Linked DNA regions of Drosophila melanogaster. The protein of the gene in region 3 interacts with the protein of the main gene of each other region in a pairwise test. Each region holds a gene or a part of one and is shown on either strand. Other genes may lie near its edges.

Region 1 (5,270 bases), on a different chromosome or scaffold from region 3:
ATTTGGAGCCATTCGACAGATACGCGTGTAAGATTGAAGATGATAATGCTATTCGCCGTGAATCCTCTCAATCAATTTGTGTATCTTTTGCAGAGGCAACACTCCGGAAACGCGTGGCACCGCCTTTGTCGTCTACGAGGACATTTTCGATGCCAAGAACGCCTGTGACCATTTATCGGGTTTTAATGTGTGCAATCGCTATCTGGTGGTGCTCTACTACCAATCCAACAAGGCCTTCAAGCGCGTGGACATGGACAAGAAACAGGAGGAACTGAACAACATTAAGGCCAAGTACAATCTGAAGACGCCTGAAGCTCCTTAGAACCCACACTTGGTGCGGCAGGCGGTGATGGGGCATAGCCAGACATTGGGCCCCACCAGATGACGCCCCCACTTCCATCGACCATTTTCCATTGTTTAGGGAACTTCTTGCTCTGCTTATGTGTATACCAAATTTTTGCTATCTACTTGTAGATTTTTTTGATCGCATTTTGTATCATTTGAATCTAATCATTATCATCCATCCATCACTCCATCTATCATATAAACGGCCGGATATCGCGGAACGCAGACATTTGCGCCCGGTTCCGACTGTTTGCAATCATTTGACGACATTAAGACACTCTCTCATCAAAATAACAAGCAAGTGAAAGTAAAAATAAAAAAAAATTGAAAAACTAGAATCGTTTGTTTCGATTTATGACCAATTTTTTTTAAAACTAGTTTTAGTCCAAAACCATTTGTAGTTATTCTAAAGTGTGTCATTTGGGTCAAGTTTATTTAACAACTTAGAAATAGGATAACAAGTAATAGTTAAATATTAACCAACAATAAAAATTCCCACTATTATGGGAAGTCTTTTGCCCTATGTAATCGTAAACTATTCTGCGATTAGGGTTCCTCCTTAAGGTCAGGACCAGTTTGGCTAGCTGCCGCTGCCTATTACTTTTCGTATGTGTCTTGCTGCTTCTCCAGTGCCAGTTGGTTCTTCAAATCCTTGAGCTCCTTCTTGGCGACCTTCGCAATTTCCTGCCGTAGTGCCTCAACCTTTTGTTTACGGTCATTTCTCTCCCCCAGAGGCTTCGCCGGCTTTTCGTCATGGACTTTTTGGTGTCGGATGAGCGCCGCTACCTGGCGAAAGCGATTGCCACACGTCTTACACTCGAAGGGCTTTTCGCCAGTGTGTATCCACTCGTGTTGCTTCACGGATTGCGAGTTGGCAAAGCGACGGGAGCAGAAACGGCACTCAAAGTCCTTGACTTTTTCGTGGACGCTCTTGTAGTGGCGCTTCATGTTGCCTATGCTCTTGAATCCCTGACTGCAGCTGGGACACAAGTACATACCCTCCTTTTGCACAAACTGAATCTCGTCTGTGGGATTCACTGCGGTCCCTGCCAATAGGGCCACATCAACTTGCTCTACGCGGCGGGGATTCTTAGGAATGCTGGCTACGGATTCGGCGTAAACCTTCAGCAGCTGATGTGAGTCCACTTGAGTGTCACTGGCATCGCCATTTACTTGCACCTGTTTATAAGTTTCCAGAGCCCTTTCCACGCTCTTCTCATGAATCTTCAGATGATTGTTGAGACTCTCCGAATGCAGGAACTTTTTGTCACAAACCTGCAAGGCGAAAATATATCAGACTTTGGTAACAAGGGTATAATGGTAATTCCCTTACCTTGCATTCGCAGCGCTTCTCACCAGTGTGCGCCATCTCGTGTATTTTGCAGGCGTATGCTTTCCCGAACGTCTTTCCACAGTACTGGCAAGCAAAATTCCGGATTTTCTCATGTACGATCTTAACATGGCTCTCTAGCACCCGCTTCGTGTGGGTGGCATAGTCGCAGATGCGGCACTTAAACTGGTTCCGTTGGGTGTGGATCAGAATGTGCTTACTCCATTCCTGGCGGGTGGTCTTTCGCACTCCGCAGTACTGACACACGTAGTTCTTGATGCCAGCATGCCGGAGAAGATGATTCTTTAGGGCACTATTGATGTAAAAGCCCTTGCCGCAAATGGTACACGGATAGGGAAGCTCTTCGCCCGTGTGCGTGTACATGTGCTTCTTCATAGCCACCGGGCAACGAAACACCACGCCGCATTCCTTGCAAGACTGTTCACCCCGCGGAGCAATAACCCTCGCCTGGTTGTGAACCTTTTTCAAGTGAATGGTCAGCAGCCGGAGACGGGAAAAAACCAATTGACAGCCCTCCACGGTGCAGGGAACCGTATCCTCCTTCTTGGAGTGCGCATAGTCCACGTGCAAACGCAGTGCACCGGCTGTGGTGAAGCCCTTTCGGCAGCTTTCCTCCTGACACTGAAACGGCAACAGGTCATTGTGGTGCTTCATGTGCTCCTCGAACTTTGATTGCTTTTTGAACTTTTGCTGGCAGATGGAACAGCTCATAAGGCGAAACAGTTTACGCTTGTCGTTCGCAATCCGTCGCTGCCCCATGGCCTGCTCATCGTCGCTGTTGAACCCTTCCGACTCCTTTTTCTCCTCCTCCAGTCCGTTGTGCTCTGCACTGGAGAAGTGCTCCTCGCTTTGGTCCCTTGAATGCTCCTCTAGTTCCTTGTCAACTTTTTCCAGCAACTTGAACACATCCTCCTCGTTGTCAATCATCTCTAGTTTGTTATTCAGCAGCGGATCGAAACTGGCCGGCTCCTCTGGCCTTTCAGGTGCCTCAGAATCATCAGCTATAGATTCGAATACACCCATGGGCATATTCCTCTGGCTGGTCATCATTTCCTTTAGACGTTTAATAGATTCTGCGCACAGTTCGCGGAAGTCATGCAGGTCGTTCAGCTTGGTGAAACATTGGGTGCACAGGTTTCTCGGGAAACCGTCGTTTTGATCCGCATCAAACGAAGTGCACGCCCTGAGCTTCTGGAACAGATCTGGAACCACGAAGAGATCGTGTCCAGCACCATGCTTCAGGTGGACAAGGCAGGTGAGACAAAGCGATTGGACGGAGTACTTGAGCTCCATAGTGCCCATTTCCCTCAATTCTCGGGCAGATAACAATCGAAGCTTCTAAACAAATTTGTTCCAGTGTGACAGGCAGTCTGACCGTTTCGCTATGCCATTAACCCATTACGGTGTAGTGGGGTGGCAAGTAAACAGCATACTTGGATTCTTATTTTTATATTAACTTGTTTTAATGTAAGTGCTTTTTAGCAAGACCATGCATGCGTCTAGTTAAAATACATTTATTTATTATTTATTTTTGACTTTATTTCGATACAGAAATCTTGTACGTTCATTTTCGTATCAAATTTTCTTGATGCCCAGTTTGTATATTTTCAAATGTCGTTGCTTATTATTAAAAGCAATTTGTTTTACATGTTTATATATACATACTAATACAAAAAAATTTGTTTTATATTTTTTCTATATATACATACCATTATCTATATATTGTAAGTTCAGTTTCGTTTTTGTTACTATGGTGCTCAGTTTGCAAAATATTTTTAAAAAACCCTGAAATACTATTTGAAGTATACAAGCAATATCTATTTAATTAAATTAGTTGTATATATATATATTTTTTTTTTTTGTATATTGCAACCTAATTAGAATTGCAAATAAGAAGGTAAGAAAAAACATTGATTGTCCAGCCCTGAAACGCAAAACAACTACGCACTCGGACGAGTAACTCGCTGGCAGAAGTACTTGCTTATTGCCCACTCGCCCGATTGCCAGTCGACGAGTATACAATTTTTTCTGTGTCAATATTATTTTATTGCTTACTGACCGGAGAGAGACGCAAAAAGCTATAGAAAACCGCCCCGATCCGCAGTGCCGATTGCGATTGAAAGCAAGATGAACGAGGGCAGGCAGTACTCGATCCACAGCCTGTGCAGGATCTGTCTGAACCACCTGCAGAACGACGCCGCCTACGATTTGTATCTGGTTCCAGGACTTTCGAAGAAGCTATGCTTCTGCACATCCCTGTCCGTGGAGCAAAACGACGGATTCCCGAAGAACCTGTGCACCCTGTGCTACACCAAGCTGAACGAGCTGCACGACTTTCAGAAACAGTGCGTCGATTCCGTGCAAAAGTTCCAGGATCTGGTGGCCAGCAATGTCTTTGCCTGCCAGAGCAGCTTCGACGTCTTCGATCCCAACGTTGCCGTGCAGGACTACCCGGCCGAGGAAGAGGACCACGTCAACTATGACCCGCTGCTGAACCACAAGATGGAGCTAATCGAGAACGAGGAGGATGTCTTCAAGATGCTGGAGCACGTCGACAAGGAGGCCGAGGAGGTGGAGAAGGAGGCCAAGGTGGAGGAGGATGACGGGGGCAACGTTTCCGTCAAGATGTTCGACGACGATTCGTCCATCGAGAGCGGCAATGACAACGACCACGATCTGGACTTCGAGCCAAATAGCAGCGATGATGACATTCCGCTGGCCCAGCGCATGAGGGGACCAGCTACCGGATCAGGACCCCAGCAGGACCGTTTTAGCAACCTAGACAAACCCAAGCCGAGGCCCCGGGGACGGCCCAAAAAGATAAAACCGCCTCCGCCAGAGGAGGAGGAGTTGAGCGACTCATCCTCCGAATCAGATGACTCCGAAGACGGCACATCGCGGGGCGACAAGCCGAAGAGGAAGCGCATTCCCATCGAGGAACGCCACCTGCACCGCATCATCGACTGCCACATTTGCCACCAGAAGTTCAAGAAGGCCATCCGCTACGAGGAGCACATGAAGTACCACAACGACCTGCTGCCCTTCCAATGCAAGGTGGAGACCTGCAAGAAAGGTATAACGCTGGCTTAAGTATAAATATAAGTATCCGATCTCTATGAAATCCCACCTTACAGGTTTCACTACCGCCAATGGGCTGCGCATTCACATCGACCACGCCCACACAGAGCTGTCCGAGGTTCACGCCTGCATCGCCGAGGGCTGCGGCAAGACCTTCCCGCGCGTCCGTCTGCTCACCTTCCACATGAAGAAGGTGCACGGTATCACCAAGGCGGCTGCCCCGCTTCGAGATTTCCCCTGCACAGAATGCGACACCGTATTCCGCTGCCCCACAGCACTCAAGAAGCACATGTATAAGCACACGGGCGAGGAGCTTCCGTATCCTTGCAATATCTGCGGCAAGCGTTTTGTAATCAATAGTGCTTTAAGGGATCACCTTATGCGTCACGCAGGCATCAAGAACCATGTGTGTCCGTACTGCGGGGTGGGCAAGACGACGCGCCAGGAATGGAACGCCCACATCCTCACGCACACCAAGGAGAAAAAGTTCAAGTGC
Region 2 (6,163 bases), on a different chromosome or scaffold from region 3:
TGGTTTTGAAATCTCATTGTCCTTTAAAAATATCTTTGCTGTCGTCGAACTTTCGGTTGAACTTTCGGTGAAGTCAGAAATCTGTGTACTTTCTTCAGTAGATGTATCCGAAGTGGATTCCGTTTCACTTGGGGTTGAATCTGTTGTCATAAAGCTAGTTGAAGTTGAATCTGTTGTCATTGTAGTAGTTGGAGATGGACGGTTGCTCTGACAAAAACAAAAAATTATGATAATTCTTGGTTTTTAAAATTAAATTTTTTTAATTAAATACCTATAAATATGTAATATTTAGACTAACATATTTGTATGTCATTTGCATATGCAATTTGACCCTTTGTCATGGGTATTTAATGTTATTGATTTTAAAAGACAGAAAAAGTACGTACATGTATTGGTTTTCTGTGCGGATGTTCAGAACGGTATCCAAAGGAACTGGTAAAAGTGAACAGTGCCAGGAAAACGACGGTCAGTTGAAAATTATGCATATTAGTGACTTATGTAAACTTAGTGTGAACTGCTCCGCCGAGTGCCAAAAAATGAACTAAACTTTAAAATTTCGCTTGCCTTCTGCGGAGCGAGATTAGTACCCTTTATATGAAAGCTTTTCGGGTATATCCAATAAGGAGGAAAATATGTAACCAGTGTATTTATTTTTAATTTAATTGGCTTTATAAAAGTAAGAAGTAATTGTACAATTATTTCTTACTTTTTTATAAAAAAAGAAAGGTGAGTAAAGGATTTAAATACACTTTTAAACGTTAAGCTCGTCGAGTTCATTTTATGAATTTATTGAGTGGTATGTTTTGGTTGACTTACAACTTTTTTCTCATTCTAAAAAATATGAGGATTACAAATCAGTTGATCTCAGTCGTTTTATTAGTCCGCGAACATTTTACATATTTTAAATATTACATATTATATATGTATGTATGTATGCTTAACAGGCCTCCAATGATTTAGTAGTAAATATGACTCAATCACTTTTGTGTGTCATTCCAAACGTTTCCTGTAACTAATGATAATGGTTAATACAAAAATAATTTTTTAAAAAGAAATAATTTCCCTTATATAGTGATGAACAAACTATTTTAATGTAAATAAACAAAAAATTGCTGTGGTTGTCCAAACTTAAAACTCCAAACACAAAACGAAAGGTATTGAAAAACAAAGGGGTTGTCATACCAATACTTCACGGATTTGATCAGTTTATAAAACTGCAAGTTTCCGGTTTTTTTGCATTGTATTGTTATTATGAAAAGTTATACAGTTTTAGAGCATTACAAAAACTCTGCCTTTACAACAGCTATTGAAAGCTCCTCCGTGTGGAGGAAGTGTTTGGCCAAAATATATGTTTGATATCACGATTTATTAAAGCGTGCGTTTTATCTATTGGATTGATTAACCACACAGAAACTCTGTATGGGAATAGATACATATATGACAAGTACTGAAAAAGGAAACGCTGATACGACTGGTTGGTATCAGCGTTTTCTTTTCCAGTACTCGTAAAGTATTCGTATAAATCTTCTTAACTATTACAGTTAGACGTAATATATATCTCGTACTTGTAAAGTACCCTCTTTTGATGAAACCTAGATAGTCAACTTTAAGTAAGCACAATTGACATTTGCTTACATTTATAGTGAGTCCTGCATTCCGTACCTAAATGGTCCAGTTATTCTTTTAAGCTTGAGGACATTACCAACAAATAATTATTATAATTATTATTATAAATTTATTTCATGTTATTACATTTTTTAATTCAAGTAATTTAACAATTTTACAAGCGATTTTGAAAGGATAAGTGATTTTGTGTGGATTCAAACTATTCAAAATCACATTCAACAATGGCTTCTTCGGCTTCAAAATTTCGCCTAGAGGTAGAACGTCGATAGTACTTTATGCCAATGATTGTGGCGGCCACACCAATGATCATTCCAGCGCAGGAGCCTACGATAATCATCCACTTGTTAGACGATCCAGTTCGGTCAGGAATCCGTACCTCAGCCTCTGATCTTGCCCCCTGCTCTGGCAAAATATGACAAACGTATCGCGAATTCTCCCCGCTGTAATCCATGTCACTATCCTCTTGGCACACCAGTTGACCACTCGATAAATCGCATTGGCAATTGTCCAAATTGAGGCACGGCTTGTCCTGGGGATCAACACAGATCTTGGCACACTTGGCTGTATTGAAAGTACCCATCCCATCGTATTCAATCCAGCACATGCAACCGGCAGTGCAATTTGAGTGCGGAACCTCGCTGGTTGATGTCTGCAGTTGAGGGTCTACAGTTGATGATTGCAACTCCACAGTTGTGGTGCTGTATTCATAGGAGTCCGTCGTGGTTTGTAACTCGCATAGTCCGTTAATATTCTCATAGCCCACGTTGCACTCGCACACATTCGGTGCCACACAGTCTCCGAATTGGCAGCCTTTGCAGATCGGCTGACACATAGAAGTGACAGGATTTGTGCTATTGAGCTGATAGCCATCGTGGCATATACAAAAATTGGGTGCCACACAGTGTCCGTTGCTGCAGCCACTGTCGCAAATAGGATCGCATTCGTGATGGGAGTTGTCCTTGAAGCGATAACCCGGATCGCAGGTACAGGTTTCTGGACTGGTGCACTTGCCATGAACACAGTTTAGGCTGCATTTTGGCTCACAGACTTGATTGGGACCCATTTGATAGCCAATACTGCAAACACAAGTCTCCGGTGCAAAGCAAAAGCCGTTGGTACATCCCTTGCTGCACTTGGGTACGCACTTCTTGTCCGCCCCCGACGACTCATAGCCCGGAAAGCACTCGCATTGGTTGGGCGCCACGCAGTGTGCGTTATCCGAGCACTTTTCGCAATGCGGCTGGCAGAGATCATTTCTCATTACGTAGCCCGGCTTGCAGACACAAACGCCGGGACTCAAGCATAATCCGTTCTCCGGGCAAGTGGAGCACACGGGTCGGCAATTGGTGCCTCCGTCGTCACCGGCATATCCATTTTCACACTCGCACACACCTGGCCTCACACATCGGCTGTTTTGGCCACAATCCTTTGGGCAAATGGGCGAGCAATTGCCATTTGAATTGTTCTTGTATCCATCTGGAAAGACGGTGCCGTTTCCCACTTTCTCGTACCCAGGTTCACATTCGCATTTCCCGGGCTCCGAGCAAAAGCTATGGTGTCCACATTCCTTTTCGCAAACTGGAAGGCAATTGTCGCTGGGAGAAGTTCGTTTGTAGCCATTTTGGCAGCTACAGACTCCGGGGCGATCGCAAAACTCGTTTTTTCCACATACCGTTGGGCAAACGGGATGGCAGTCGATACCGCCGTAGCCCGCATTGCAACTGCAAGTATTGGGGGACGAGCAGAATCCATGTTGAGGACACTGTTGTCTGCAGACAGGTTTGCAGTTCTCAACGGATCCTTCGTAGCCCTCACAGCAACTGGGTCTCATTACGGTCCTGTAGGCAGTCTAGAGAACAGGAGAAAAAGCCTCTTTAAAGGAAACTTTAACTACACACTTACCAAAGCTATAAATAATAATATAAATTATGTACAAATTCGAATTACCTCATCTTCATAGACATATTGATGCCTGTACTTAGTAACCCAACCATGAAAGTATGAATACTGTTGAAACGGAACCAATTTACTTTTAAGAACCTTACGGTTATACGGAACGCTTTCCGGGTGACTGCAATCATTTAGGCCATGCCGTAAAATGGCGAAACTTGTGCCAAAGGACAATGACAGACACACAAAATGCAGTGAAAATGCAGTAAAATCCATGAGTAATGCGAGTCAATTCGTTTCCTGAAGTATATACCATATATATATTCACTATCTTAAAGCAACCAGTCTGTCCGATGAATTAAACAGAACTGGACCCTCAATTAATGTAATGTTCTTTTCTCTTGGATTTTTAATGAATTCCAGATAACGAGCACACTATATCTTCGTTTGCTTTGTACATAGGAATCTTTTAGTATTTTATAATTATTTGTATTATTAGCTTTAGGGAGACTAGTTCCGTTCCCCATTTATATTTTACTCAAAGTTTTGTATTTACCTCTTCGTCTGTATAATACTCGGTGCGGTATTTTGTCTGCCAACCACTCCAGAAAGATCTATGCTGGTATGGTATCACTCTACTCCTTTCGACATATCTCTTGTAAGTAACCACCTGCGATCGGTTACAAACATTCAAGCCGATGGGTTGAATGAAGTCGACGAGTAGCATAAAAAAACCCAGACACACCCAAAGGCATTGGATGTGTGACATTATGGAAAGAGCAGAAATCTTGTAAAATTCAGCTTTGATCTCTATGTAAATGAGTTCGGCGCAACGTTTCAAATTCAACTGAGCTGCAAATGTAAATTTATATATTTCATGTTGCTCCAAAATCAGCTACATCCGTTGAGGACTCGACAATCTAGACCTATACATATAAACCGCTTGGGATTATCTGAGCATTTGTTTATCCCAATATTGCAAGCAAAATATGTAAGACAGAAGCAAACGCTATAATGTTTCCTTCAACTACTGTATATATTTCATCAGCCATTCAAATATGCCCTAGGTTACTAAAGATACTTAAATTTATTCTAAATGGTTAATTTCATTGCGGCTAGTCGAGTTGCAACATCAAATGTTATTGCTTTTTTCTACAAAGAACAAGACCGTAAATAAATAATAATTGCTTGATATGACGATTGACGACCGCCTGCAATAATGATTAGCTCTTATCATTTATATGTTAGAACTGTTTATGGTGAAAGTGTGAGTAGTTTACTCTCCCAGAGCACTCACTCAGGTATCTCGGTGATTCCACACTGTTGAATACCTCTCCCAAATTCAATGAGCAGCTACAAATAGAGCAGAGTATCTGATTCCACAACAGACGCCGTTTAGAACTCGTCGCGCGTGGACGTAGATTTTAGAGCGATCGAAAATGGTTCTGATTACTTTGACCCTGGTTTCGTTGGTGGTGGGCCTGCTGTATGCCGTGCTGGTATGGAACTATGACTATTGGAGGAAACGGGGCGTTCCTGGTCCCAAGCCAAAGCTATTGTGCGGAAACTATCCAAACATGTTTACTATGAAGCGGCATGCAATCTACGATCTAGACGATATATACAGGTGAGTTATCCCAGCTAGAAAGGTTATATTAACTACCAAAATTCAATGGATCATCAACTGTTTCACAAAGAAACCAAGAACCATTCTTAAAACGCATTTAAAAAATTACGCTTTACTTGAATTTAATGCGATCATTTTATTCAGGCAGTATAAGAACAAGTACGATGCTGTGGGCATTTTTGGCAGCCGCTCTCCACAGCTGCTGGTGATCAATCCCGCGTTGGCGCGTCGAGTCTTTGTGTCCAACTTTAAGAACTTCCACGACAATGAGATCGCCAAGAATATTGACGAGAAAACCGATTTCATTTTCGCCAACAATCCGTTCTCGTTAACTGGCGAAAAGTGGAAAACTCGAAGGGCGGACGTAACGCCTGGTCTTACGATGGGACGGGTGAGGCAGTTCATCCAGTGGCAAGCCCGAAAAGTACTGATCCAACCAATATACATAATTACAGATAAAGACAGTCTATCCGGTGACAAACAAGGTGTGCCAAAAGTTGACCGAGTGGGTGGAGAAGCAATTGCGTCTGGGTTCTAAAGACGGCATCGATGCCAAGCACGTAAGATTCCATCTATACTATCTGTTGTACGTATTCTATGAAACCAAACCTGTTTTTTTTTTTTTTTTGCTACTTTATCGTCCACAGATGAGTCTCTGCTTCACAACAGAGATGGTCACCGATTGTGTTTTGGGTCTGGGCGCTGAAAGCTTTTCGGATAAGCCCACACCCATAATGTCGAAAATCAATGATCTCTTCAACCAGCCCTGGACCTTTGTGCTGTTCTTTATACTGACTAGTTCCTTCCCATCGCTAAGTCATTTGATTAAGCTACGCTTCGTGCCAGTGGATGTGGAACGCTTCTTTGTCGACCTGATGGGCAGTGCGGTAGAGACACGTCGTGCCCAGTTGGCGGCGGGAAAGCAGTTCGAGCGGTCCGACTTCCTGGACTACATCTTGCAACTGGGTGAGAAGCGCAACCTGGACAATCGTCAATTGCTGGCCTATTCCATGACCTTCC
Region 3 (5,441 bases):
ATCCTTGCTGGCGTTGCCCTCGCTGAGATTTAGCCGAATGGGCGGCTCCTCGACGGCCAAGGGTGCTTCCTTGTGGATGTACTGGTACACGGTGGTGTTGCCAAACTCCACCAGGTGGTTCAGGATAGGCAGCACTTGCTTGTTGCCGCTGACCTCCGCATACAGGTCGATGCCCGGCTGAATATTGGCAATGCCCACCAGCGACTTATCGTATAGTTCCGGTAGACCAGATAGAACCTGGACGAACTCGGCATGCAGATTGTCGCCCTTGACGCCCAGTTGCTCCAGCAAAGCCGAGTGGTCGGCCAGGATTTGGCTCTCGGGCTTGTTCAGATCGTGCGCTCGCTTCTGGGTCTCGTCCGCCTGCTGCTCCAGCCTGGCCATCTGCTTTCGCACTCCGGGAATCTCGTAGTTCACATTGCGCACGAAAATCTGAGCCGTTTCGGCCAGGTAGGTGGCATTCTTTTCGTACAGGCGGCTAATCTCTTGCCAGTCCTTCATGCGCTGGCTGCCGTAGGTGCCGAACACGCTCTTGGTGTCCTTCTCCGTCTGCTTGAGGATCTCAATGATCTCCTTCACATGGTAGTAGTTGATATCTGCAAGTGGGACACATTAGTGGGATGGCATTCTGGGCACTGGGCACCTACTTGTCCGGGCCAACAGCTTGATCAGCTGCTCATTGGAGGGCATGTCCTGCAGGGCGTTGCTAATCTTCCTGTGGATCTCCCTAAGCTCCTGCTGCACATTCTTGGGCACAATTCTGCGGCTGATCAGCCAGTCCTGCAGCTTCAGCGTGTGTATGTCGATGGGGATCTCGGACTCCTGCTCAAATAAAATGCTGATGAGCGAAATATTCCCAAAGATTTCGTTAATAAAGTGCTTACATTCATTTTAATTAAATGTTTGTCCACGCAGACTGTTTTCTATTATTTTAGCAGCTGGCAGTGTGACCAGTCTACTGTAATAAACAAAGCGGATACTTCAACCATCATACCTTTTTTTTCCAATTGAAAAATTCAAGACATTCACACTGTAAATTTTTTAAATTCAAAAACAATATTTCTGAATGTAGCTAAATGAAACATTTAAATTCAAAAAACTTAATTAAAATGTAAATAGCCAAAAATCCCACCAATATGACAACAAACCGCTCGTACTTTCAAATAATTCCTATTATACATATATTTTGTTTTCAAACAAAGGTCAATCAAAAACTAAGCAATGGTTTCCGCAAATCGATTTCCTTAAGCATTTCCGGGCCTAACCCGAATAGTCATTGGCAATAGCTGCGACATCGGCATCGTCCCGGAACATTTGCGCCACTTGGGCGCTGGGCAGGACCTTCTGTGAGCTACCGGTCTTCGTCTTTCGCCAGATGTCCCACTCCACCGGATGCATTTTCTTCTTGTGGGAGTGCATGTTGGCGTTGGAGTTGAAGGTGCGGGGACAGAAGGGACACTTGTAGAGTGGCTCGCCAGTGTGCTGCGCCATATGCTCCTGCAAACATCAATCGCTTTAATACAACACATAAATAAATAAGGGTAATATGTATTATCCAACCTTAAGGCTGATGTCCTTCTTGAAGGTTTTGCCACACTGCTCGCAGGTGTAGATCACATTCGAGTGGGAGTAGCGCTTATGACCAATCAGCGCGCGGGAGTTCTTGCAGCTCTTGCCACACTCTGAGCAGATAAACAGCTTGCCCTCGTCGTTGTGGCGCCTCAAATGCTGCTTAAGATTGTCCTCGTCCTTCAGCCAGCTCTCGCAGTCAGGACGCGGGCACTTGATCCGTGGTCCGCTCTCCTCGAAGTGCAGGCGAACGTGCTTTTCGAAGACAGCCTTGTCCTTGATCTTCTTGCCGCACACATGGCAGATATTGGCCGCCTTGCGGTGCTGCATGCTGATATGGACCTGCATGTGGTACTCCGTGGCAAAACTGTGGTGTGAAAGGAGAACGATAAGCATTGGAAACACTGCCGTTTAGCTGGCGAGGCTCACGCATTGTGTTTGGGGCACTGCGGGCAGATGAACTTGCGCTCATTTACGGGCACATGGGAGCCCTTGTGCAGTTCGAGCAGGTTGCGTCGCGAGAAGCGTTTGCCGCAGTCCTCGCACTGGAAGTCGCACTCCTCGTCTGGAACATGGTGGACCAGCCAGTGGGCACGCAATACGCTGGAATTGGCGAACACCTTTCCGCAGTCCTTGCATCTGTCGGAAAGGAAAGCTAATTATCAAATCGCTTCGAATTGGTTTGGGTAAGAGAGACCCACTTGATGTACTCGGGATTCTCATGCCTCCTCGCATGCTCCTGGATGAGGCAGCGCTTGTTGAGCTTGCGTCCGCAGCACTTGATGTAGGGCCGCTCGTCCGGATGCTTGTCCTTGAAGTGCTCGCGGATGCCGTCGAAGTCCTCGGCCAAGAATATGCACAGCTCGCAGCCCATGACTATGTAGCGCTTGATCAGTTCCTCGTCCTCTTTGCAAAACGGCGGCAGGCGTTCCATCTTGAATATCCTCTTGGGCGGTCCCCGCTTGACCACCATCTTCTCCTTCCCCTTTCTGCCCACCGACACCGTTCCTCTTTTCGTTTTAGCCGGCTTGGCCACGTCCCGTTTACGTTTGCGTCCACTCCGGGTCACGATCAGGTCGTCGGTGTCATCATCCTCGTCGTCCTCGTAGTCCTCATCCTGTTCATTGTTGGCATCCTCAAAGAGGAGTTCCATGTCGGGTGACTGTCGCTCTGTTTTGATGCCCACCTTGCTGTCTTCCGGGGACATGGGTTGGCTAAGGTCTAACTCGTCCAGGGGATTCACATTTATCTGCGCACCGACATCGTTGTCGACGGCAAGGACGTCGGCCGGCATGAGCACCTCCTCCGGCCAGGAGGTGTTCACCATCTCCGGATCCTGCTTGAACTTGGAGGTGGTGGCGTATATCACCTGGGCCTCCTGTATGGACACGTAGAACTGATGGAACTCGGACACCTGCGTCCAGCAGACGTTGCAAATAACCTTGGATATCTCGTCGTTGGGCAGTACCTGTACGCGTTCCGGAGACGAGATGGTGGTAAAAAAAGATTCCCAGGCACAAAAGTGGGTGGAGGGCAGCAGCTTACCTCGAACCAGAAATGTTGGCGCAGCACCTCCGCCACCTTGCTCTCGCCCGAGTCCACATCGAAGATCTGTAGACACATCTGGGCGCCGCTCACTCCGCGTAAACAGAGGCGGCAGATATCCATTTCGCATTTATTTGATAAAACTATAATAAAAAGTAGTCATTTACATAGCTCTGTCGATAACTCCCATCGCAACTATCGGCTGCATCGTGATTTGTTCGCTGTTCATTCTGTGCACTGGTTGTACGACGTCGGTCACACTGGCAAATTGTTGGTTTTCCTATTTTCGTATTTGCTGATAATGTGCATATTGTGTGGAAAAGATGAGTAAACAAGGGAATAAAAGCAAGGATTCGGCTGCCGCATCCGCCACTTTAAAAGTAAAGGTGTCCTGTGTAGCCGGAAAAACGAGCCTAACATTTTTCGGTCTTGTTTTCAGCGGATAAGCGAAAAGAAGTTGGAGGCCTTCACGGTGGGCACCTTCTCCAAACGACAATTGTCCAAAAAAGAGCTCGAGGACCAGAAAAAAAAGGAGGATGCAGCTGCTGCGGCACATGTAGGCGCCTCTAGCAAATCCCTCCTCCACGCATTATAATCCAATACGATTTTTAGGCCTTCAAAGAGTTCGTAGAGACTTTCCAAGATGCACCCACCCCCTCCTCGAAAGTTTGGGTCAAAGCCGGCACCTATGATGCAGGATCCCGGCGGGAGGACAAGTCGGAGAAGGGCAAGCTATACAAGCCGGTCTCCAAGCTGATGGAAAAGAGCTCCTCGGACAAGGTCGAGGATTACGCCAAGACCCTGGCCTCGGATCTCAAAAAGGACTCGGGTCCATTGAAGAAGAAAAACCAGGAGAAGAAAAAGAGCAACTTGGAGCTGTTCAAGGAGGAATTGAGACAGTAGGCCCACTTGGTTGTGCATGTGTGTATTCCATACTAATTGTTTCATGCCCACAGGATTCAAGAGGAGCGTGAGGAGCGCCACAAGTACAAGCACATGGCCTCAAGCCATTCCGCACCAGCACAGCAACCGGCTGCATCAGCTGCTCCTGTGCCCAGCAGCAGTGTCTCCACCACCTCCCAGAACTCAAGCAGCTCAAAGGAGTCTGGTTCGTTTGACACGGGCGATCCAAATACCACAAACCTGTACCTGGGCAACCTGAACCCCAAGATATCCGAGCAGCAGCTTATGGAAATCTTTGGGCGATACGGTCCCTTGGCCAGTATCAAGATCATGTGGCCCCGCTCCGAAGAGGAGAAGCAAAGGGGACGCAATTGCGGCTTTGTGGCCTACATGAGCCGCAAGGATGCGGAAAGGGCCCTAAAGACACTGAACGGGCGCTACATCATGGGCTACGAGATGCGTCTAGGATGGGGTAATCTATAGATCTTATATTGAAGTTCTTATTCCTCATACATCTTACTTAATATTTCAGGAAAGACTGTGCCCATAATGAATACGCCCATTTTTACACCGCAAGCATTGCTTGAGATGACCCTGCCTCCGCCTCCTTCAGGATTGCCCTTCAATGCCCAACCTCCACCCAGTGAAGCTGATGTGCTGCCCAAGAAAAACTACAAGGAGTTCAACCAAGAGGACAAAGAGAATATGGAGCGGGTAAGTGAATAATCACCTGCTAGCGTCTAAAGAAATAAAAATGAAAATGTTCAATTTTGTAGATACTTGCCAAATGCGTCGTTAAAGTCCATATACCCACAGAGAAGTATGAATTGCACCAAGGACATTCACTTAACAAGAACTCACGTTACTGTGCTTTTCTTTTTTTCCAGGGCTGTTCTTAATGTTATCCATCGGATGATCGAGTTTGTAATACGCGAGGGACCGATGTTTGAGGCTTTGATCATGATTCGGGAAATGGAGAATCCGCTCTTTGCGTTCCTCTTCGACAACGAGAGTCCTGCCCACATCTACTACCGATGGAAGCTGTTCTCTTTGCTACAGGGCGATACGCCCAATGAATGGCGGGAGGAGGAATTCCGTATGTTTAAAAACGGACCGGTTTGGAAGCCCCCGATTGCCAACTTCTACACTCAAGGCATGCCAGATGAGCTGGTTGTTGATCCCGATGCTCCTGTGGTGCACAAAGGAGCCTTGTCCAATGCGTACGTTTAGCATAGATAATCCTCGAAACATAAATGTTTACTGTACTGTAAATGTATACTGAAATAGGCAACGCAACCGACTCGAGGATTTGATTAGGCACTTAACTCCTGAACGCGCCCGCATTGGAGATGCCATGATCTTCTGCATTGAGCACGCAGATGCGGCTGATGAAATCTGCGAGTGCATCGCCGAGTCTCTGTCAA

The links. The genes of interacting proteins can lie anywhere in the genome.
Region 1: the proteins of grau (region 3) and CG7386 interact in a two-hybrid assay, tested with the Drosophila melanogaster proteins (one large-scale study listed by BioGRID).
Region 2: the proteins of grau (region 3) and NimC1 interact in a two-hybrid assay, tested with the Drosophila melanogaster proteins (one large-scale study listed by BioGRID).

The regions. Positions count from the first base shown.
Region 1 is NT_037436.4:6,187,533-6,192,802, reverse strand, and holds CG7386 (uncharacterized protein), read right to left. Parts: upstream 3,059-5,270; 5' UTR 2,990-3,058; coding exon 1,679-2,989; intron 1,621-1,678; coding exon 943-1,620; 3' UTR 754-942; downstream 1-753. Other genes in the region: Sf3b6 (splicing factor 3b subunit 6), read left to right, coding at 1-27, 94-322; D19A, read left to right, coding at 3,824-4,769, 4,831-5,270.
Region 2 is NT_033779.5:13,972,405-13,978,567, forward strand, and holds NimC1 (nimrod C1), read right to left. Parts: upstream 3,851-6,163; 5' UTR 3,793-3,850; coding exon 3,574-3,792; intron 3,476-3,573; coding exon 1,826-3,475; 3' UTR 754-1,825; downstream 1-753. Other genes in the region: He (hemese), read right to left, coding at 1-207, 387-485; Cyp28a5 (cytochrome P450 28a5), read left to right, coding at 4,956-5,143, 5,288-5,534, 5,599-5,703, 5,791-6,163.
Region 3 is NT_033778.4:21,008,609-21,014,049, forward strand, and holds grau (grauzone), read right to left. Parts: upstream 3,314-5,441; 5' UTR 3,238-3,313; coding exon 3,115-3,237; intron 3,038-3,114; coding exon 2,271-3,037; intron 2,209-2,270; coding exon 1,999-2,208; intron 1,937-1,998; coding exon 1,561-1,936; intron 1,498-1,560; coding exon 1,261-1,497; 3' UTR 1,156-1,260; downstream 1-1,155. Other genes in the region: CG30291 (uncharacterized protein), read right to left, coding at 1-596, 648-822, 885-890; CG9346 (uncharacterized protein), read left to right, coding at 3,438-3,494, 3,554-3,670, 3,727-4,013, 4,071-4,489, 4,550-4,731, 4,794-4,837, 4,905-5,237, 5,305-5,441.